Linked DNA regions of Drosophila melanogaster. The protein of the gene in region 1 purifies or fractionates together with the protein of each later gene. This does not show direct contact. Each region holds a gene or a part of one and is shown on either strand. Other genes may lie near its edges. The genes, in order: TpnC4, Idh3g, Mf and CG6330.

What was found.
Region 2: the proteins of TpnC4 (region 1) and Idh3g purify together in Drosophila melanogaster (affinity purification with mass spectrometry, with the first as the bait; one large-scale study listed by BioGRID). This does not show direct contact.
Region 3: the proteins of TpnC4 (region 1) and Mf purify together in Drosophila melanogaster (affinity purification with mass spectrometry, with the first as the bait; one large-scale study listed by BioGRID). This does not show direct contact.
Region 4: the proteins of TpnC4 (region 1) and CG6330 purify together in Drosophila melanogaster (affinity purification with mass spectrometry, with the first as the bait; one large-scale study listed by BioGRID). This does not show direct contact.

The regions. Positions count from the first base shown.
Region 1 is NT_033778.4:5,502,936-5,509,713, forward strand, and holds TpnC4 (troponin C isoform 4), read right to left. Parts: upstream 4,932-6,778; 5' UTR 4,752-4,931; coding exon 4,749-4,751; intron 3,860-4,748; coding exon 3,826-3,859; intron 3,777-3,825; coding exon 3,378-3,776; intron 3,324-3,377; coding exon 3,303-3,323; intron 714-3,302; coding exon 709-713; 3' UTR 502-708; downstream 1-501.
Region 2 is NT_033777.3:25,678,865-25,684,293, reverse strand, and holds Idh3g (isocitrate dehydrogenase (NAD(+)) 3 non-catalytic subunit gamma), read right to left. Parts: upstream 3,450-5,429; 5' UTR 3,328-3,449; coding exon 3,271-3,327; intron 3,174-3,270; coding exon 3,096-3,173; intron 3,029-3,095; coding exon 2,249-3,028; intron 2,190-2,248; coding exon 2,003-2,189; intron 1,939-2,002; coding exon 1,863-1,938; coding exon of another isoform or gene 1,859-1,862; exon of another isoform or gene 1,421-1,858; intron 1,237-1,420; coding exon 1,206-1,236; 3' UTR 911-1,205; intron 822-910; coding exon of another isoform or gene 821-821; 3' UTR 514-820; downstream 1-513. Other genes in the region: RpL27 (ribosomal protein L27), read left to right, coding at 1-199; CG4743 (uncharacterized protein), read left to right, coding at 3,808-3,903, 3,956-4,222, 4,286-4,701, 4,814-4,928; CG5039 (uncharacterized protein), read right to left, coding at 5,054-5,080, 5,136-5,321, 5,395-5,429.
Region 3 is NT_033777.3:15,177,254-15,182,162, forward strand, and holds the start of Mf (myofilin), read right to left. Parts: upstream 3,018-4,909; 5' UTR 2,955-3,017; intron 2,098-2,954; exon of another isoform or gene 2,069-2,097; intron 1,928-2,068; 5' UTR 1,877-1,927; coding exon 1,786-1,876; intron 1,237-1,785; coding exon 1,027-1,236; coding exon of another isoform or gene 968-1,026; exon of another isoform or gene 1-967.
Region 4 is NT_033777.3:26,949,601-26,955,027, forward strand, and holds CG6330 (uncharacterized protein), read right to left. Parts: upstream 3,655-5,427; 5' UTR 3,523-3,654; coding exon 3,404-3,522; intron 2,299-3,403; coding exon 2,175-2,298; intron 1,820-2,174; coding exon 1,472-1,819; intron 1,410-1,471; coding exon 1,038-1,409; intron 969-1,037; coding exon 825-968; 3' UTR 523-824; downstream 1-522.

The DNA.
Region 1 (6,778 bases):
TGCATGATTTTCGCAAGTTCATCGAAATTCCGTATTGCATTTCGAGAACTGCACGCCACTGTTCCCTCGGAAATCGCAGGGTGCGGCCAAAGACACTATTCTAGTGTCTTTGGTGCGGCACAGATCCCACTTTTGATATCGGCTCATAAGGATTTTGAGTGTTGTTGTACATCTTTTCTGTAAAATGTAATCTATTTTGTAAGGCTGAGGTATCAACGAGTTCTTCTATCTGCTTTGGCTTCTAACCAACAACTGACGCTCTCGCCTCTAGCATGGTTCATTTCCTTTTCTCGTATCTCTTTCGCACTTTAACCACGTTCAGCAACAGCACTATCGGTCACGCTCTAACACATTTATTCCCAATCTCAGATAATTTGTCGCTTTATTCCCATACATTGAAAATAAATGAAATAAGTTAAGCATCAAAGAACGCAAGGAGAAGAGGAAACAGTACAGCCTTGCCACACCTGTTACTTTACCACATATGTTCATCCGTCTGTTCGTACATCGGCCTTATCTGCTTTTGGCCCGATATTTGTTTATATTTAAATTAGATAAGAGAAAAATGATGCTAATACATTTCAATCAAATTTTATTTATAATATTTGACACAAAACTAATGGCTATTATTGTTTTATGTATTTTTGATTTTGCATTGTCTGCCATATCTGAGCTTTTGCACAGCATGTCAAAAAAGAGCAATGTGGGTCAACCTGGAAGAGAAAAGTTTTAGTGTTTATAAAAATATTTATATTTATATAACGAAATATAAGGATAAGGAACGAAATATTTGAAATTACAAGAGAGAATGCTATAGTCGAGTTACCGGACTATCAGATACCCGTTATTCAGCTAGTGGAAGGGAAAATGGGAATTTTCATAATTTTTCTGGCATATCGATAGAATTAGATAGAGAATAATATATTAAAAATATTAAAAAATTTAAAAAAAGGTGGGCGTGACAGTTTTGGTCGTTTTATAGGTGCTAGAAGGGGCGTCCAAAATTGTTTGGTATAATCAAAAAATTTTTCAAAAGTGTGGGCGTGGCAGATTTGTGAAGATTGGGTATTGGCATATCAATAGAAATTAATAAGACGTATACAAAAATGAATAATATAAAAACATTTTAAAAAGTGTGGTCGTGGCAGCTTTGATTTGCTTGTGGGCGTAAAAGTAGGCGTGGCAAAATTGAGAAACAACCTTGCACTTCGTCTATGTCTCAGGAATCTTAATCTATGTCTTAAAAATATGTTGATATTTTATAACATTTTATTTTATAAAATATATAATAAAAAAATATATATATATAAAATTCAATTTTGTCGCGCCTCTAACGCCACACACACACTTCTTAAATGTGTTGAAAATATACCAAAAACATGTTGTCCACGCCCAATCGGTAGCTTATTCGGGCGGCAAATATATAACATCCATATATGGAGGCATATTTATTGTTTTTAAATTTATCAGCTGAGTAACGTGTATCTGATAGTCGAGGCACTGGACTATAGCATTCTATAATATCATGTTTTTTCTACCAATTTTTATCGGTGTCATTTTGTCATCTGCCTTCTAGTCGAGTTACTGGACTATCAGATACTCATTACTCATTTAGTGGGAGGGGGAACGAAAAATGTTGACACTTTCTTAGCAAATCTATAGAAGTTTACAAAGCAATTAATGCGTCGCCAGGGTAGGGCAGGGGGAGCAGCTTCCCTCCCCCCCTCTGGACCTAAAAGGAATGTTCCAAGAAATTTCATAATTTGCTGCCTATTACGTAACTTCCAGTTGTTTATTTACACTATGTACCGTTCTTATTCTCTTAGTCAATCTGCCTCCAATTCTATCGATAGGTGCTTTCACTAAGAGTTTCCAGTGTTGGAAGATGAATTCTGGTCAAAAATATATGTAACTAAACGGGCTCTGTTTGAAGACAAATACTTCTGCGACGTCATTTTATTATCATAAACGACAGTCTCTCAGTTTTTGTCTGCCTACTTGCTCTTCTGGCTTGTTTCAAACTTCAACATTCGGTACATCTAACTTGCTATTCGGCACGAACTCAGATATGGTGGATGTTTTTAAAGGACCGGACATTCACCATCGCCAACCTTGTCTACATTTCTTTCTTTACTTTTTACTTCTTTGTATGGACCTTGACATTACCCTTTAATCTCAAGCCAACTCCATATTGAGTCTGATCACAACAAGCCAGTTTACTTTGATTTGATCAGTTTGATACTTTACTGACTTTCACTCTTTCTCATTGATGTTTCACTTTACGCTCTTTGTTCAACTGATCTCTTAATGTAAGGTGATCAACACTCAAGTCAACACCCGGTTTTTGTTATGCATCCCTCTATTCCTATTTGCCAATGAACATTTGGCACGTCAGTAAATAATATTGATTCCTTTTGTACCAAATGTTGCATTTTGCATGTTGTATAAAAAGTGGCACGGTAAAGCAGCGATTAACGCAACCCTACAAAAACACGAGGTATTGGATGTAACAGAGGATTCTCCCCAGAAGCGGAGATGTTTAGGGACATACATTCGGACATGCCCATATGGATCAGAATCGATCACAGGAATCGTGGTCCTAAGAACCTTAAACCCGGAAAAGCTTAAAGAAAAGACCCTACGTTGGATCCCAGCCATTGCCATGCATATGCGTGGCACGCATACCCAAAAAAAAAAAAATATATGTTATAATATTTTTAAATTTGTAATAAGCTTGACAATTTCTATCGATTTGCCAAAAAACTTTTTGCCATCAGCACTTCAACGCCTACAAGCCGCTCAAACTGCCACGCCCAATTTTTTTTTTTCATTTTTCTTTAGGATTTCATAACTGGACTGTGGTCTTCTCTCTTGTCTTAGGTATAGAGACCTTAGCACACTTAGTTTTTAATCGTCTAACGGCATAAGCAACATTTTACGGTCATAACTGATGTTGCTTATGCCGTTATGTTGACGATTAAAAACCAAGTATAAAAAAAAAACACATCCTTACAAGGCAATACGATAATAAATCGTTTAATAGAAAATGTTTTGGTGGACAGGAATTATTTTAGAAAAACGGGCGCCGTTTGCGTAAATTTTATATTATGAATTTATAATTTATGCAATATATGCAATATCAATTGTAGTCATACAAGTTGATTATTTTTTGCACGTGGGTGGTATCGTCACTTCACCCTTAAACGGCAAACCGTAAAGAAGGTCAGAATAATATTGTTTTGTTTGAATGTGTTTTTTTACATAGGTGGAACTAATATTTGTTTAAGGGTATCATGTATTACCTGTCATAACTTGCATGAATTCTGCAATGAAAACGTTATTATTGAATGTTTGATTAATTATATTAAACTACTTACCGTCAAAATCAACCGTACCGGATCCATCCGCATCAATTTCTTCTATAATCATATCTAAGTCTTGGTTAGAAAGCTTATCGTCCAATTCGTGAAGAATGCCTCTTAGTGTTGCAACTGTCAGGTATCCTTTCCCCTCTTTATCATATACACGGAAGGCCTCTTTTAACTCATTTTGAAGAGCTCCCACATCTTCCTCAACTTCAATAAAGCGAGCTGCCAGTTTGCAGAACTGGCTAAAATCCAATTTACCAGTTGTTCCTTTATCGACCTCTTTAATAAGGGCCTTTACCGCAGGTGGTTCTAATTTCTGACCCAAAATTTCAAGAATGCTAGATACATCAGCATGTTCGATCGATCCTGCACCGTCGTGGTCGAAAGCCTTGAAGGCGTTCCTAAGGACTAATACGTCGTTTTTTAAATAGTAAATAAAAGTTTAATTTTATACTACTTCTCAATTGTTCCTTGTCGTATTCTCCATCGGCCTGAAAGAAGTATGGATATATAATAAAATCTTTAAGATAATGAACTATATGTTCATGTCAGCCTGGTGTCTACAAGAGTAATGTCATAATTATACTCGTTTGGTGGACGGGTATGTTGTATTTCCAAAAATATATTGCATACAGATGCATGTCTTTCATGCACAAAAAGGGTACGTTTTCTTATGTGCATTTTTTGTAACGAAGTCAACTTTTGCTCGGTAGCCCGTCTGTCCGTATGCAACTGATTTACCATAAATGTTCGAAGACTCTACTTTAGCGATGTAGAACAATATATCCCTTATATGTATGGCTAGATCGACTCGGCTATTGTTCCTGATAAAGAATGTATGTCTATGCTTTATGTGGTAGAAATCGCTTCCTTCTGCAAGTTACATACTTTTTAACGAATAGAGTATACCCTTTTACTCTACGAGTAACGGGTAGCGGGTGTTATTGCAATAAATACTAAGTTAATGATAAATTAAAAAATTTTAAGGTAATATCTTCTTCACTGTCTGGTTATTAAAATCCACATAGCGCACGTTGTCGTCTACATTTTAATGTTTTGAAAATGATCTGCAGATTAACGGCAGTGATGACAATTAAGTTCCTATTTGTCTCATACGTAGATAGACACTATCTATATCAAAAAAAAAAATATATCAAAAATCACTTTCCCTTGACAGCTTATTTCCAACCACTTTACAAACTTAATACTTTATACTTTATCGCTTGTGGAATTTATATTTATATAAATTGTGTTTTTTCATAGCAAGGGTAAATAATTATATTTATATTTATATTTAGTCAACAGTAAATTTTATATAAAAAATTCAGAATGTGCTCCATTAATTTTTAGTTTAATCAAAGTTATAATATCGTAACTTACCATTTTAAAGAGTTTTTTTTTGTTAAATCAAATTACACCGCTAAGGTTTAGGAAAACCCTTTAAATATAATATAAAAATACTATATTACTATTACTATACGATATTTTTGATAATCTAAAAAGTGTCCCAGAAGAGGAGCTAAAGAAACAGGGTACGCTACTTTCAATTATCACCAAGCTTTTAAACAATTCGATTTGTGTTTTATGTTAGCTAAGTTCATCGGCAATGGAAAATGCCAAAGCTTTTCCGAACGAACGCTAACAATAAAAATGTAAGCGACTACATCTGTATACAAACGGCTAAATTTTCATCCTAATCGATGATAAGGAAATAAGAGCAAGAAGCGCTCGAAGAGTAAGGGTGGTCTTTATGCCGAAACTTTTATTCCTTAAATTGTAAAAGCAATAATCCAATTAAAAATTTTTATTTTTTAGTTTATATAAAATTAGAAATTTAAGTATTTTTGATACCATAAAGGCAACATATTTCTTAAATTAATGATTTACCATAACACTTAATCTATACGGGAAATAACAAACATTTTCTTTGACAGTTCAACCATAAATATTACGCGGAACTTATATTTTTAAGCGTTCCTCGTTGCACAGTAATATTTATATCTTTAAGATATCTTTACTTACTGAATCAAGCTTCCTTTCCTGTTACTGTTTCTTCCTAATCTACCTAATCAAGAGAAATGCGCGATAATTGATGAGTATCAAAATGTACCATTGCATATATTTTACCGAAGTTGGTGCATTCATCACGTAGTGTCAAAATGGGGTGAAAGCTATTTATATTTTATTAATTTAGTGAAAGTTGTTAATTAATATGATTTTATCGTAGATAAAGTACTTCACGAAACCAATTTTACCTTCACACTTTCAAAAATGTGTGATCTCATTGTTTGTTATACCCGTTACTCGTAAAGTAAAAGTGCTAGTTTCGCTGAAAAGTAGCGTTTCCGACCATATAATGTATGTATGTATATATTCTTGATCAGGATCAATAGCCGAGTCGATCTGACCCTTTCCGTCTGTCGAGATTACCATTCCAGAGACATAGACGCAGCGCTAGTTTGTTGACTCACGCTAACGCCCTCAAGCCGCCCAAAACTGCCACGCCCACACGTTAGAATAATGTGGTACACAGCCTACATCTCGTAGCAGATGACATGGAGGGGACTGCTGGGCCTATAGAATCGTTCCCAAGGCAGGCACTGTCGCATTCTACAAGGAAGACGCCCAGTGAAAGACAATAGTTCCATCATGGCTTTTAATTATTGATGGTTGGACGGTCTGTGAAAACGAATTTCTGTCTTATACGGTGAAATAGCCAATGGCTGGGCTTTTTAGGCTTACGTTGACGCTATGACCGTTATGACTTGTCGCTCCGAAACTTGATTTACGTGGCGTCTCTCACATTGACAAAGTTACAACCCACAAGTGGGCCAATGATGCATGTGCCTAAGCACTCTTTTCCAATGGCCCTAAAAGCTACGTATAGGTAGGTACATATATAGCGATGTACAATTAGCAATTTGAATGGAGTATTACAGTTCAAGTTCTGCTGGAGCTCCAAAGTGTGATTATTTGGCAATGGTCCGTCATCTTACACCTCAAGAAAATATTAACCGAAAAACTGCTAGGAAAGACAACAGATCTGATCTTAAATACGCCTGCAGATGAGCGGAAGGGCAGTTTGTCCCCTGATCCTATATAATGTAATCAGTATTTCACGCGTTTTCGATTCTATAGAGTATATACATTCGTGATCAGGATCACAAGCAAAGTCGATTTGGCCATGTTCGTTTGTCTGTCCATATAGAGTTGTGGTTAAGCATTACATTTTAAGCAGTATTATTTTAATTTAAAATGCTTGCCAACCCCGTTTCGGGGTTTGTAGTCCCAAACTGCCCGGCGCACACATATGAAAAATTGTTGAGTTCTTTTCAATGTCTTTTGCCCACAAACAGCGCAAAACTTCAACGCCCACACTTTTTTACTGCCAATATCCAAAGGAATACGGG
Region 2 (5,429 bases), on another chromosome or scaffold:
CTTCCTGAAGAGCCTGAACTACAATCATCTGATGCCCACCCGCTACACGGCGCACGACATCAGCTTTGAGAAGCTGTCGCCCAAGGACCTGAAGGATCCCGTAAAGCGCAAGACGCACCGCTTCCAGACCCGCGTCAAGTTCGAGTCCGTCTACAAGGAGGGCAAGAACAAGTGGTTCTTCCAGAAGCTGCGTTTCTAAGCTGCCCATTCGCTACTTGTGGTTACTGGATTTGTCGCTCTTTTTTAAGGTTTAATAAACAAAGAAGTAATTCTGATAAAACTGACCGAAGTGGATCCTGTGCCTTCTTATTAAGTGTGCAAGTGGGACAAACGTGCCTATGGTGATGAAAGTATATAGAATACTTTGAGTAGGAAGTGTACAAGAGGTATTTGGACCCAAGTCATCAACAAATTTCAAAATATAAGGCAAAATATCAAATTCGCTTCTGGATCATTTTAAAATATAGTGCAAATTCCATAGCCTTAACCGCCCGAATCCAAAACATAATAGTTACAGTGTCTTTTTTACTTTTTCCTTTACTAATAAATATTCGAACAGAATAATACATTTTGTTTGAATCAACTTTTCAATATTACAAATCTTTTGGAAAATTTACAATTTAATATCGCTTTGATTGACTACTTGTGGAACTTGCTTGGCTTTTGAAGAGCTCAAAGTGTGTTATTCTTGTTGTTCATGAACTGTTGCCTTAGGGTATTTTGGAAATTAAGTAAAATAAAAGAAAATATACAGCTTTCAGTAGGGAGTTTAAAAGAAAGATTCAGAGTGCAAAAACATTGGATAGGGCCGGCAAGAAAATCTGTGGAATATAAGATAAAACTGGATTAGAATCTTATCAATCGAACCTGGGGATAAATGAAGCTAAAAAATATTTGGAGTTTGTATTACCTGAATTATCACACTTGGACATCGAATGAACACACAATGGACATTTAGCCGGGGTAACATATTTTGTTTGGGTTAAGCAGCGGAATAATTCAACCTCGATTTGATTATACCGATTTTTCTGGGCATCACATTAACGCTGAATGCATTGGCTTTGGGGTACAAGATGTCTCAAATTGGCTTAGTTGTGGGGTTAATAAAATTTTGACTTTTTTTTTTTTTGTATTAGACTTGGTTCGATTTGGTTTATCTTGCTGAATTTGTTAGCAGTTGGTTGAATTCGGTAGTGCGATAGTGCCTAAATTTGGCTAAAATAGTTTCCATGTGGCCTGCGGAGCGGTAAAGCGTTTTTGGATTTTCAGGGAGAGGAGAAAAAACAGAATAATTTTGTTCATTAGAGCTGCACAAGGACAATTTGGTTACACGTTCAAAACGAAAATACTACATACTTGTGTGTACTGAATGTGTGTGGTAGTGTGTTCTACTGGGGCACTACTTAGGACAAATATACAATAGAAAATAGTTCAACGAAGCAATTGCTAAACATAAGTCCAATTTATATAAACAAATTTTAAGTAGCCTCTTATAGGTGACAATCGAGCATGTGTCACCCAAGAAGAAGTACTTAAAACTAAAAGATATAAGGCAACCAAAAAGTTAGTGATTAAGTGAAGTCTGTGGTGTGCTGGTTGGTTAGGACACAGTTAGGCCAATTCGGCAATAACACTTACAGTTCTGCTGAAGTAATCAGTAAGTAATTAAAATAATACAATAACAGCATGAAATTATAATACAAGAAGGCCCGCCTACGCTGGGCCCATCGCGACAGTGAAGTAAAAGGGGACAAGCGATAGATGTTTGTTTGCTTAAAACTTAATAGAAAATACAACACTTGGTTGTGACAGCGAAATAAAAGAACATATAGAACTACTCTAAATGCAGACGATTATTTTACCAATTCACGCGCTTGGCACTCAAGATCTTGAGTATATTCTCAACCACATCGGTACTGGAGTTGGTGCCGCCAATATCTGTAAGAGATTTAGATGATAAAGGTGATTCTGTTTATTGAATAACTACGAGAGACGTGATCACCTGGCGTGCGAATGGCATCGTTGACAATGGTCTGGTAGACGGCCTCCTGAATGACATTGGCGTGCTCCTTGTGGCCCAGATGGTTCAACATATCGATACTGGCACTGATCATGGCCACAGGGTTGGCGATATTCTTGCCGGCAATGGCGGTTCCGGTGTTACGGGTGCCAGGCTCAAAGATGGCGTACTAAAATTATATGACAAAACTGAAAGACTATGGGTTAAGCAAAAGAGAAAGAGACTTACATGGTCACCGTAGTTCCTGCCGGATATGAGGCCAGCTCCGCCCATCAAACCGCAAAGAACATTGGACACGATGGTGCCGTACAGATTGGTCATGTTCATCACGTCGAACTGGTGAGGATTCGACACGGACTGCATGCAGGTGTTGTCGATAATCATGTTGTTGTGCTCCAGTTCGGGATAGTCCTTGTGCACACGGTTGGCAACCTCCAGGAAGAGACCATCGGACAGCTTCATGATGTTGGCCTTGTGAATGGTGGTAACCTTCTTGCGATTGTTTTGGCGGGCGAACTCAAAGGCGTAGCGGGCCACACGCTCGGCATTCTCGACGGTCACCACTTTCATGCTCTCCACAATTCCGGGCACAGACTCATGTTCCAACATGGCGTACTCGCCATCGGTGTTTTGGCGGATGAGCACCACGTCAATGTCGTGATGGCGGGCCGGAATGCCCGGATACGACTTGCAGTGCACCACATTGACGTACAGATCCAGCTCGTTACGGATGGCCACGTTGCGGGAGACTTCGGTCAAGGATTGGGACTTGGTCTCGATGTTGCCCTTGAGTGCCACTCCGTTCCTCTTAATCGATGTGATGGCATAGTCCAGATCATCGTTGCCCTCGGTGGAGGGATCGATGTCGATCACCTCGAAATCGATGGGTGCACCGCAATACCGGAAGATCTCGCGCACATAGCCCATCAGTTCAGGACCAATGCCGCCGCCCGGCAGCATGGTGACGGCATGACGACCTCCGTACTGTGCCGAGGGAATATCGGTGCCCTGTTCACGAAGATATATACGGATGCTATAACCTCAATTGGGGGTGAGCTCCAGAGGTTGCACTCACCGTGACTTTCTTCTGCAGCGCCGATTTGGTGTGGGCCACATCCTCGGTCTTCTCCTTGGTCACCAGCAAGGGATAGCCCTACAATTCGAATCGATAAGTACGATCAATAGGATCTGGCAGGCGCGCATTATGTAATTTGCCTTTGTGGGCCAATTTTCCGGCCGAGAAAACTTACGCGAGTGAGGAACGGCGTCTGCGTCTGCAGCAATCTCTGGGTCAAGCGAAGGGCCATGATTTGATCCTTGGATTATTGTTTTCTACCGCTGCAGTTGGTATTCTACTATCAGTTAAATCACAGCCAATTTTATTCCACTTGGCCAAAACGGTGCTGCTGGCTCTTGCCCAGAACCACGGCTTTTCAGGGTTGTCAAGTAAATGGTATTGGTTTTAAAATAATTACTTTGGTGTAAAAAAAATGTATTATAATTATGTGTTTTTGTGAAAAAGCTAACATTTCAATACCATCCTTTTTTTAAGTAACACTTTTGACCAAATAATATATATCTTACATAGAATATATTTATTTGTTATGGTTTCAGCATCTTGGCAACTCTACACCAAGCAGCTGTTATCTGCAGACCTGCCAGATCAGCAAAAAGCAGCTGACTGTTACGTTAACAACCACATTTTATGTTTTTGTTTACTAAAACAACTTTAGTTAATACTCCGACGGGATGACTTAAAGTGGATGCCCCAACATCATTTCTAGGACATGGCAGCGGAATTGGGTCTGGAATCGGCCGCGGGGTCCGTGGCAATCAAAATGCAAGAGCCGGTCAATAAATTAAAATTTTTCCATGCACTTGTTGTAAGTAGATGAAAATTAAATGAAAAGTTAGTTCTTAAATAATTAGTTTTAGGCAGGAGGAGTGGCTGGAATGGTAGTGGACATAGCGCTGTTTCCCATAGATACAGTGAAGACCCGACTGCAAAGCGAGCTGGGCTTTTGGCGGGCAGGAGGATTCAGGGGCATCTACAAAGGACTCGCTCCTGCGGCTGCAGGAAGTGCTCCCACGGCGGCCCTGTTTTTCTGCACCTACGAGTGCGGAAAGCAGTTCCTTAGTTCGGTCACCCAAACCAAAGATTCACCCTATGTTCACATGGCAGCGGCTTCAGCAGCAGAAGTGGTAGGATTTCATATAAAACTGAGCACCTCGTATTTAGATCTGAAGAATCTCTGTATCCAATAGTTGGCATGCTTGATCCGAGTTCCCGTGGAGATTGCCAAGCAACGCTCCCAAACATTGCAGGGCAACAAACAGTCCGGCCTGCAAATTCTACTGCGTGCCTATCGCACTGAGGGATTGAAACGTGGTCTGTACAGGGGATTTGGTTCCACTATCATGCGGGAGATTCCATTTAGTCTGATACAGTTTCCGCTCTGGGAGTACTTTAAGCTGCAATGGACTCCCCTGACCGGCTTCGATTCCACTCCTTTTTCGGTGGCTCTTTGTGGAGCTGTCGCTGGAGGCATTTCAGCGGGATTAACTACGCCGCTCGATGTGGTCAAAACCCGAATTATGCTGGCTGAAAGGGAGAGTCTCAACCGACGTCGCAGTGCCCGAAGAATTTTGCATGGCATTTACCTGGAGCGAGGCTTCAGCGGGTAATTATTTCCATATTAGACGCAACTCAAGCTGGTCCTAATATTTAAACACAAATTAACTTTACAAAACTATTTATTACATTTATTAATGTACTTCGATGTTACTTTTCAGTCTGTTTGCTGGCTTTGTGCCGCGTGTGCTGTGGATCACACTGGGCGGTGCATTCTTCTTTGGCTTCTACGACCTGACGACGCGAATCCTTGGCGCCACCAGTACGGATCATTAAAATTAGGGTTATTTTCGTTGTACTTGTAGTAGAGGCACGTAGTTTGCAGTAGTAACTAAACCGATGACAACCACCGTTTGAAGACAACGTGGACAATAAAGTGTATGGAAGACTTTTGAGATTCACTAGGCATTGGAGGCGTTATTCGCTCCCTGTGGAAGAAAAAGGGCTGTGATTGTATTGGGACATTGTCACGAGCTCACTGACATCCTGAATGTGGAGGCGACCAGTGAGGAGAGTAGCAGTAGTCCTTTGATCTCCCAGTTCATCTCCGCAGTCCATGGGCACATCGGAATCCTCCTCATCCACATTGATGTATCCACTTCGCGGAGCCTTCCTGCTCTTTAGGCAATCCCAGGAATTCCGACAGCGACTACGTGACATGGCGTAGACCTGTGTACACCCAAATGCATAAATTAAACAAATGTACATCCACTTAAACAAACAGACTGTGGCGATAACGCACCAGTGCAGCCAGAACGAAAATGCCAACGAGCACGG
Region 3 (4,909 bases), on another chromosome or scaffold:
GGACTTCAGGGGGCTGGGTGTTCGGATTTGGGTGCTTGGGGCTTTTGCCAGTGTGTGAGTGTGTGGAAATTCGGAAAATCGGAAAAGAGAACTTCGGTTTCCGCGCACCGAGGGCCGCCACAGTCATTTGATCCCAGAGCACGCACCGAAAAAAAAAATTGAGTCAAAAATTCCGCTTATATACCTGACTTGATATATAGCGCCTGTGTGTGTTGCCTATATTATTGTCTTCATTTTTTTTATTTTTTTTGTTCATTTTTGAGGCCTTTTGCCAAAATCAACACGACCGAGGCGAAACGAAACGATACGAAACGAAAATTTTCATTGACGTAATTGTATTTGGCCGTTTGGCGCTGTCCATTTTTATTTTTAAATTTATGAAATCATAGCGCTCGCACCAGTTTTCATCTCAAATGAAACGCATAAAAATATGGCGGTTTTGAGATATTCAAGGTGTTGTCAAAAGCTTCAATAGCAGGCAGTGGCGAGATTGCAGTTGTAAGATGATTGTAATGACTCGACTGATTGACTGACTGATTGACTGACTGACTGACTGATTGATGGATGGCGCATCGAAGCGAAGCAGAAAGGCTGAAAGAACTTGTGGCGTTCGGATGGACCGAAGCTTATGTAACCTTGCAAATAACAATCAGGTGATTGCCTTTTTTAATTTTAAATTTTAATTAAAATTTTAAACGTTTTTTTCTAAAAAACTAGATTGAAAGCATTGACATAAACTTTTGAACCTGAATTTCATCTATGTTACTATTCCAGTTTCAAGAATGTTAAAAATATCTTTTAGTTTCATGGCGGATAATTTGTTATGTAAACAATCATAATCATTTATCTATATTATTTGAAATATACTTTAAATGGTAATAACAGGATATCTTAGTTCAATATCCACATTTGCAAGGCCACCGATTTCGGAAGCATTAAGATACAGATACTCGGCTGTGTGAAGCAGTTAGGCGGGAATCGGCTGTAGATAGTACAGTATGTGGTCCGTATATGGTACCAACTTACTTGTTCGGCTGTAGTGATGATCGTAGATGGCACGGGGCGAGTAGCCGTAGGTGTCGCGGCTCACTGGCAGATATCTGTAGCCAGAGGACTGGACGCGCTCATTGGCGGTGGCGGGCTCGTCATAGATGCTCCTGTAGGAGGGCGAGTCCAGGTAGGAGCTGTAGGGACGAGAGGCACGGGGCGCCTCGTGGGCACGGATATCCTCGGAGCCTATAAATAGTTGTTTGGATAACGACGCGTTAGTTCATTGCTTTTCAAATATTTCGGCTATTCTATTCTCACTATTTGGCTCAATGCCAGCGCTGCAGAAATGTATGATTTCTATTCGGTTTCTATCATAGATGCGCCCCCTGTATGTGTATCCTATATTTTAGCCTATTCTTTGTTTAAGGCCTGAGCATATATATTTTACAAATTTCTCTCTATATATTCGAATATACTATGGCGAAAAGCTTTCCCAGCAGAGCGTGTCTAAGTATATAGCTTGGCTGATATGACACCTGCCAAAATAAATAGACTATACACATATAGGCTAAGCTATTTGTGTTGCTCACTGGCGACCAGAGTTTAATAATATCACTTTTGAGTGTCCCTTAATCATATCGAAATGGGAACACTTCGAGTTAATCTTCAATTGTTTTTTGAATTATTTTGGAACTATGCAAACTCCCTACTATTGTGACTAAGCAATCAATAGTAGTTTTGAATAACTATCCTATCTTTTAATGTAATTTTTGAGCTTATTTAGTGAATGCTTACCCTTCAGGGACCTGATGTAGGACTGCCAGAATTTCGCCTTCTTGCTGGGGCTCTCATTGCGCCCAATCATTTCCAAGTGGTTTTTGAACATTTTGATCGATTTGTTTTGTTCTGTTCACGAAAAAATCGTTGAACTCGTTCGCTGTAATAAAGTTGGGAAGAGAGATGGCTTAGCAATTTTCCAATGTGTTTCAAATTTCCTTTCCGCCTATTTTATTTTATTTTTTTTTTTTGTCCGTTTTCAATTTAATCTATTTCCCGGGAAATGCCAGGCAGCACGCACGAATTCGAATCGCTTGTCTCTCGATTGATGGGATGTTTTCTCAGTTGAATTTTTTGCTTTCGCGTTGAAAGTCTCTCGGTTCGAAAATAAACAGACTGTGTGCCACTTTAGAGCAGTGCAAAGTTTATAAAACATATACATAAAATCTAATATAATACCGCGATCGGGCAACAGCAGCTAACGCAAGATCAATCTCACTAAAAATAAATATATTTCGGTTCGGTTTTTGTGATTTTTCATGTATCGTGGTATTCTCCTGGTTGCTCGAATATAAAAATATTTTTTTGTTGCATAGCAAATTTCACACTTCTGAGTATGAGAACAAATATTCTAGGTGTCGTCAGTGTGTGCGTGTAAATGGGTGAGTGGATGTAAGTGTATCTGTGTGTAAGCTGCAGCTAAATTGGGTTTTATTTTTAAATGTCCTTGAGTTGAAATCGTTCTGTTATTCTGGCTTTTAGCGGAATTTACTTAAGTATCGAAGAAGTGTGCAAAGTCTAAGAACAATTTAGTTGAAGTATGTTTAAAATAGGCCTTTATTATCCATTAAACTAAATTAATTTTGAATTTAATTCAATGTGGGATTTTTGTTTTTTATATTTCACTGCACAAACTCTTGATGAGCTCCAACACTTCGGTATCAAATGTCATTGAGTACGATCTCTCTTATATAATTATAGTCAATGTCTTTTCGCTATGGAACATATCGGATCATTCATAATGCGATCATAATTCCATAATTATTTCACCAGTTAATTGTTCGTCTCCACATTCAGATGTGATGGTGCACTTTATTTAATTTGATTTTATTGTTTTTCATTTCGTTTATAATTATTTAATTTACTATTCAGTTGTATGTTGTTTAATATGTTTCGGGTTCGCTTACAATTTAAATTTACTCCTAAAAAATAGCGATCTATCCTCAACGAAGAATTTTTTCAAACTGCAAACCCCAAGAAAATTCGCCTCACCAATTTTCCTCGTTTCAGAATTTTGCCATTCCGTTTCGGCACCAAAAGCACGGCGCATTCCTTTACGGCGTAGGTTGCTCTATCCGTGAGCGATTTTCATCGCATCTGTGTGGCAAAGCTCCGGAGATTGGTTATGGGAAAGCTTTCCCACCACATTCTGATAGATCGTGTGGTGGCACCCACTCATTGTTTGCAACGATTCAATACCGAAATCGCGATGACGCTGGCGATGATCATAAAAAGAAAGCCAGCCAAGTCATACCACACATACACAATACATATGAGCCCATATTTCTTTCAGAAAATCCCACACCCTATTTTCTGTTTTTGTTTTTCCTATGGTTTTTCATAATTTTAACATATTCTTTGAATGTTTCAAGGGAAAGGCGTCACTTGTGGTATTGAATTGATCAGTGAACTATAAGCTCTAACTAATACATTACAATATTTGGTTTTTTGTAACTAACTAATTCAAAATGTGGTTAGAGGCCGATGGAATTTTTGCCATAAAAGCATTTAAATTCCGTTTATTTGTTTATGTTTTCTTTTGGCTTTGGCATTAGCTATAATTTAGTTTCCTGATAATGGAAAAATCATTTCCAGCAACATGCCCACACAGGTAAATAAACAAAACTGGTCCAGATACATTTAACCAAATAATAGATACTTTAAGCACACAATATATTATTTATAATGAAATCTGTATGAATAGTTTGATATTTTCTAGCTTGTTATGTAAAATTTGCCGTTAATTGATTATTTAAAACATTAGTAACTCATTTTTTTCGATTATACCCTCCTGTAGGGTATATCTTTTTTGCTCACGTGCGACCCAATGATTGATAATCTAAACACAAATTTTCCAGGGAAATTCCTACGAAAACGAATAAACAAAGATGGGTAAAGCTTCCCCCATCATATACAATTACATCGAAACGAGTTGAAGGGCAGATCTGGGAGTACATATGTTTCTAATAATAGTAAATACATTCATGGAGATCATGTTGACCTTTTCAATCGTGCAGATCGCTTACAGAATTTCCTGCATGTGTTTTCTTTTTCCGCCGATAAACTCAAGGCCAAATGCACTTGCATCCAAATGTTCTTTTGACTTTGTTTGTTTAGCTTATATAAATCTTGTTTGTGAATTTTACCCTTAAACAGGCGGGCGGCGTCATTTAAACTTGAACTTGACTTTGAATGAACCGAATGCGGTTTGATGAACCAAATCGAAAATCAAATGAAAATGCACAAAAACTCACGGGAAATTGGGAAATACCTGGCAAAGGTTTTTCTTTCGGCCAATCAGTGATTTCGGTGATGTGATTCAACTTTTACTTTCTGGCACACTTTTTTGGCTTCACAGAACAATGAATTGAGCAACTTTTTATTTTACTTTCGTTTTTTTTTCAGGTTTTTCATTTTAATTTATTTTAGTTTATTGGCGCTTGATTGTGTTTGTTCCAACATCTTTGATGTTTTGCTCAAGGAGACACAAAAATTGGCTAGGAATTGCATACCCTTAAAAGGAATCTCAAATAAAATTTAGTTATTTTAAAAATATTTTAATTGGCCTAGCGGCTTACAAAATAATTATCTTAGAGAAATTTATGTCCCTTGGGAAATGGGGTCAAAATGTAAGCTCATTATTTAGAGGGCACATATGCAAGCAACGTCAAACAATTTGCTTTCGCAAATTCGCCATATTTTATATCGCAGTTTATACCCAAATTAATTGCAAACTGCATTTAATTTCAGATGAGGAGAGCAGACATTTAGCTGTCAGAAAGTCAAATGCACTGTGAATGCATATAAATTATATACATATTATTACTTTCGCACTTGGTGTGTAATAAATTGCTTTCTCAAT
Region 4 (5,427 bases), on another chromosome or scaffold:
AAATATATACATATGTAATGCAAATAAATAATGGAAAAATAACTGTTTTGGTATGATCTTTTAGCCACCAAAAAATGAAATCGCGTTAAGTGGTTTGTATAATTTAATTACAATTTCTTTTAATATACCGTTGAAATATTTGTCATAAATTTCGTTTTTTTACAATATAACTTGTATATTTGGTTTTATCGTGTGCTATCCGTAATTGTATTGATGTTATTTTCAGCATTTTGTTCTTCATCGTATTGTTTTCATTTAATTTGGATATAACTAGACAGAGAAAGATTAAGTGCTGTTGGATTTGGTTTAGAGTCGAGTGTACGGTAGCAACACTAATCAACACGTACATTTAACAAATCTTTAGGAATTTCAATACATTATAATATAATAATTTATAAAATGGAAATGTAGCATTTAGTTTTGTTTGGTATTGTTGAATCTTTGCTTAATAGATTAGCCCCATTTAAAATATGCAACATAACAATTAACAATTTCATAATTCTTCTATATTATTCGTTATTTGTTTTGTGATCTCAAAAGCGTTTATTTCTGATAACCTTTGAACGTCACACTCAGTGATACTATTTTTATATATTATTGATATACATATATATATTAAATTGTGGTAACATATGAACATATGCACGTACAATATGATCGGTTTTAAATTATCCGATGAGGTTGTGGGCGATATACACAGAAATAAAGCTAGGAACTTAATCAGAGCTAAACTAGGGAATGTTGAAACATCATTGTATACTGGAGAGATGCGCACATATAATGTAAGAAGGTGAAATGAGATGGAACTGGTCACATGATCCCATTTACTCGTGGGCCTGAGACTCCTGCTGGACGAGCTTGAAGCGCCGGGGTGACTTGATGGATCCCTGGTGTCCGAATAGCGCCTTCAGCTGTCCATTGTGCGTAAGGACCTTGCGAATATAGCGCGACACGAGGATCTGCGGACGCTGTTTGGGTGAAAAATCATATGTTCAATTACATTCCATTGAGAGGGGGAGTTAGTCGGGATCACCCACCGCTTGCCACTCGTTCATGACCTCCTTGGGCGCGTTGACCTGATCCCCATTGAGGCGGTTCAGCAGGGCGACACACACCACCGCTGCCTTGATGCCGGCATGGTGGGTCAGGGCCGCAAAGATGGTGCTCTCCATCTCGATGTTGACCACGCCGTTCTCGCGCAGCTTCTCCAGATAGGCCATCTTCTCGTTCTCGCTGAAATCACAGAATGCGCCGTCCAAACGACCCTGGCCCTCGTAGAAATCGTTGGTGCACAGCGTCTTGCCAATAATGGTATCGTACGGATCATCGGGACTGGCCAGGGACTTTAGCTCACGGGCCAGCTTTTTGTCCAGCTTGGCAGGACGATGGATGGTCTTGCCGAGAATGGTCTGCAAATCAAGTGTTTAGGGTCATCTATCGCATTTGAGGTGATATTTCAGCCACGACTTACAAACTCATGGGAGTTCCTCAGCTGCCCATCGAGGGCATCTTCGGTGATGATGACGGTGCCGCCGTCGACGCCAATTCCTCCGCACGTTCCTATCCTGATGAAGACGGGATCCTTGCACTTGGCGTGGTACATCAGCTTGATCATCTCATGCATCAGGATGCTGACCGAGGGCGTACCCATGCCATGGCTGACGCACAGCACCGGTCCCACTTTGTACATGGAGTAGCGATACGAATAGGCGCTGATGTCCTGCAGCTGGGTGCCCGCTGGCAACTTGTAGCCAATCTCGTTCATTATGAAATGGGCAAAATTCTCCATGCGCTTTGGTGTGCCGCCCATGCAAACGAACTGAAAGTCAAAGACAGACACGGATTAATTGAGTGAGCTTTTAGAAGGGGAATAACCGGCATTGTGTTTCAGATTTGTAAATTACTAATACCGCTGGTATTGCAATCTATGACTATATAATTATTTATATAAAACATACCCTTAATTGTAAATCGCAAATCGAACCAGTACTAGATTAGCACATTGATATATTTATTAAGTTTATGAATCTGACTAAGCATATAATTAGCTTAATTGGCAACAGCTAATGAACTCGTTTCGCTTGTGCCCCACTTGATTTGATAACAATCAAGGTCTAGGTCTGGGTCTAGTCTTTAACCGCCTCAGACTATGAATAATTCAAGAGACCACTCACCTTAACGTCGCCAAACATCTCCTGCAGGTCGTGGCTCTCGCTGCCCAAGGCCAGGTGATAGAGGATATCCTGGTCCATGAGCTCAATGTTCGAGTTGCGCAATTTGACGGTTCCATCGGAGTACCTGCAATTAAAGCGAATGCAAAACGAATTAATGAGGATTAAATTCTATTCGCCGCCAGCGGGGGCCATAAATAAACGCCCACTTCAGGCCAAGAAATGAATGAGTTAATTACTTTCAGCTGTCAGAAGTAAATCACACTTAAAAATGCTCGTTTTCTGATAAAAGATAAGTTTATCTAAGTGTTTCCTAGAAAATCGGTGGCCGAACAAGCCCCCCAAAAGTGTAATCAGTTGGGATGGGCAGGAAGAAATTCGTCATCGCTGGAATAATTATTTATTTTTTAGGTAATGCTTAGCAAAAACACATTGTTATGAGCTAATTTTTATGAAATATACATTACTTATACACACAATTTTGTCACACAATCGTGAGTAAGCACTATTCGAGTATTTAATGGCCACAAAATGACAGATTCAAATTTCGTATTTCTAATCAATATTTGGATCAGAATTGATTCGTGTATTAGTGACTTTATTTATAGAGACCCCCCTTGCGATGTAGGGGGTCTAGAGAGCACCAATACCCAACCAATATCATTATCAAGTGCGTCAAACGGGGAGTCGGAAAAAAAACATGTTAGAAGTGTGAGCAAAACAAAAAGCAAAATGTCTATGACTCTAGCATAATCAAATGAAAACCCCGTGTAGTCTTGACCTTGATTGATAAGCGCGAAGTGAATATATTTCGTAAGCACTCCGGCAAACATCCGATTGAAGCATAAATTATGATTTGATGAGCTCGGAAATCGGATAGGATGAAAAGTGATCTTTGAAATGAATACAGGGTAATCGAGTAGGCGTCACACCCACCGGTCTGTGCAAATATTGTGCCAACTGGCCAAGCGTTCTGTTTTCCATTGGCGTTCTTTGCTCAGATGAAGAGCTGGTTTTGTGCCAACACAGCGATTTGACATCAGGCAAACTATAGACTGCATTGCAGATGGATTTTGATTTGCATTTGTTTTCATTTTTCAATAGAAAACGGCTGTTATTTGTTGCTAGCAAACAGAGAAATTTCCAGAGCAACTTTCTCGCGCCAAATGAAACAACCCCCGGCTGACTTAAGAAGCAGCTGCAGGACCAAAAACCGGTTTCAGCATCCTTACCGCGTTATCCTTTTCACGTACGCATCGTCCGTCTCGTCGTCCTGCAGCGAGGACCTGTGGGCGCAATCGTAGTGGGCCTTAAAGTCGTGCGTCTGATTATCGGTTATGGTGGGCGGCATGATGTCACCTCTCGAATGTCCTTTAACTCACAAACGAACTACCAACTACCAGACGAAGGAGCAGCCAGCGAGCCAAAACAAAACTAGTTACTCGTGTAGACACGTCAACGCTTCGAGCGAGACTGAAAAAATTTCTTGCGTTTCGCCGGCCTTTATATAGGCCGCTTCTGCTGAGCTGTGTAGATAAGACAATCTTCTCGGCGAATCGGAAGTTATGCTGCGCAATTTGATAGTGGAAATGAAAATATATTGCACACTGTATGGTCGTGTAATAGAAACCTCTATAGAATGGCATACATACATACATAGATACAGATTGTTATCAGTTCAGAGCGACTTATGCATCACTAATCAAGTGCAATTGGCCACGAGCCTTGAGGCGAAATTGCAGCCGAGCATAACGGATTTGCGTAATCCAATTATTGCAATTTCGCTGCTTTATTCGCTGTATGAACAGGGTGTTCGATCAGGTCCAATTAGCCGAATCATTAGTATAACATTTCAACTTTAAATTCATGCAAATTGGCTTGGAATTTTTGGTTTTGTATATTTTAAACGGGTTTTTGAGATACCTATTTCGCTACACATTCTTCAACTCTGATATTTGCAAATTAGATGCAAATAAGACCAATTCGGTTAATTTATTTTTAATGTTGCCCACAATTGGCAACTATTCGCATGAAACTAGGCACCCTGTGATCGTAACTCAAAGTAACTCTACAAAAAGAAATATTTCGCCATGGACAAGAATGTGAGCAGCGCAACTACCACTATTGTAGGCCCAGTCACCAGTGCGTCATCCGATGTCGGTGGCTTTAATTTCGAAGTCAGGCCATTAAATATACATAAACAGACGACAGCGAAAGACAAACGAAAGAGGAGCTCATTGCCCACACACAGTTACTCCTGCACTCACACTGGCAAGCAGAAAGCGAAACAATCAGCAAAGAAAAGAGGGAACTTAAACAAACAGAAAGAAAAATAAATAAAAACGGGTAAGGCTATAAGATAACTTGTACCTTTTACATACATTACAAAAACGATTTTTAAACTGTTGACATCTAAATTTATTTATATATTATATATGCATATATTATTATTATATATACGCATATATAGTACAACGTCTTGTGGTGCTACAATAGTGCAATATACCCGACAAACGCGCAAGTACCAGGTATTAAAAAAAAGAAAAGAGCAAAAGGCAAAAACAAAGCTCAGTCAAAAGCAGTCGAAAAGGGGGCTCGGCTATGTTGGCATAGCAATTCACAAGAGGGAAAGAGAACCAGACAGAGACAGGGAGGCAAGTAATAACAGAGACAGAGAGAGACAGCGCGATTGCAATAGAAAGAGAGGTTGGCTTCTATGTACGTGACGCGGCTCACAATTTGGTTTTTGAGGTCGCATTTTGGCGGTGAGCAGAGTGCGGCAGCGGTGGAATTCACTTAATGGCCATACTCGTAATTAACTTGGCCGATTCCCCGTAACTACCATTGATGGACTTTGCCAGCTGCAAAGCCAAATAAAAATCGTTGTTTATATAAGCCAAAACTATGCGAGACTTGCTGTGATATTCGTTTGAATGGGCAGTGAAATAAAGAAAACTCATTAACCAACACAAATCATGAAAAGTGGTTCAATAACGATATTCGAGTTTGTTTTCGTCATATCATCGCTAAAGTGCTTCTTGAGGTACCCTTTGTAATTTGAGATGAGTACGCAATCGTGGCCATTTCAAGTCGTTTCTTTGGGTCATTCCACTTGGTTGGTTACCATGGGTAAGCTTGACTGTCACTGGCAGCAACAAATGTCACTGCCATGGATCTAGTCTTTTCATTGTGAGCTCAAGCACTTGATCTATTTATGGGTAACCCAGTACGTCTTAGGATATGGCAAGCTAGAACA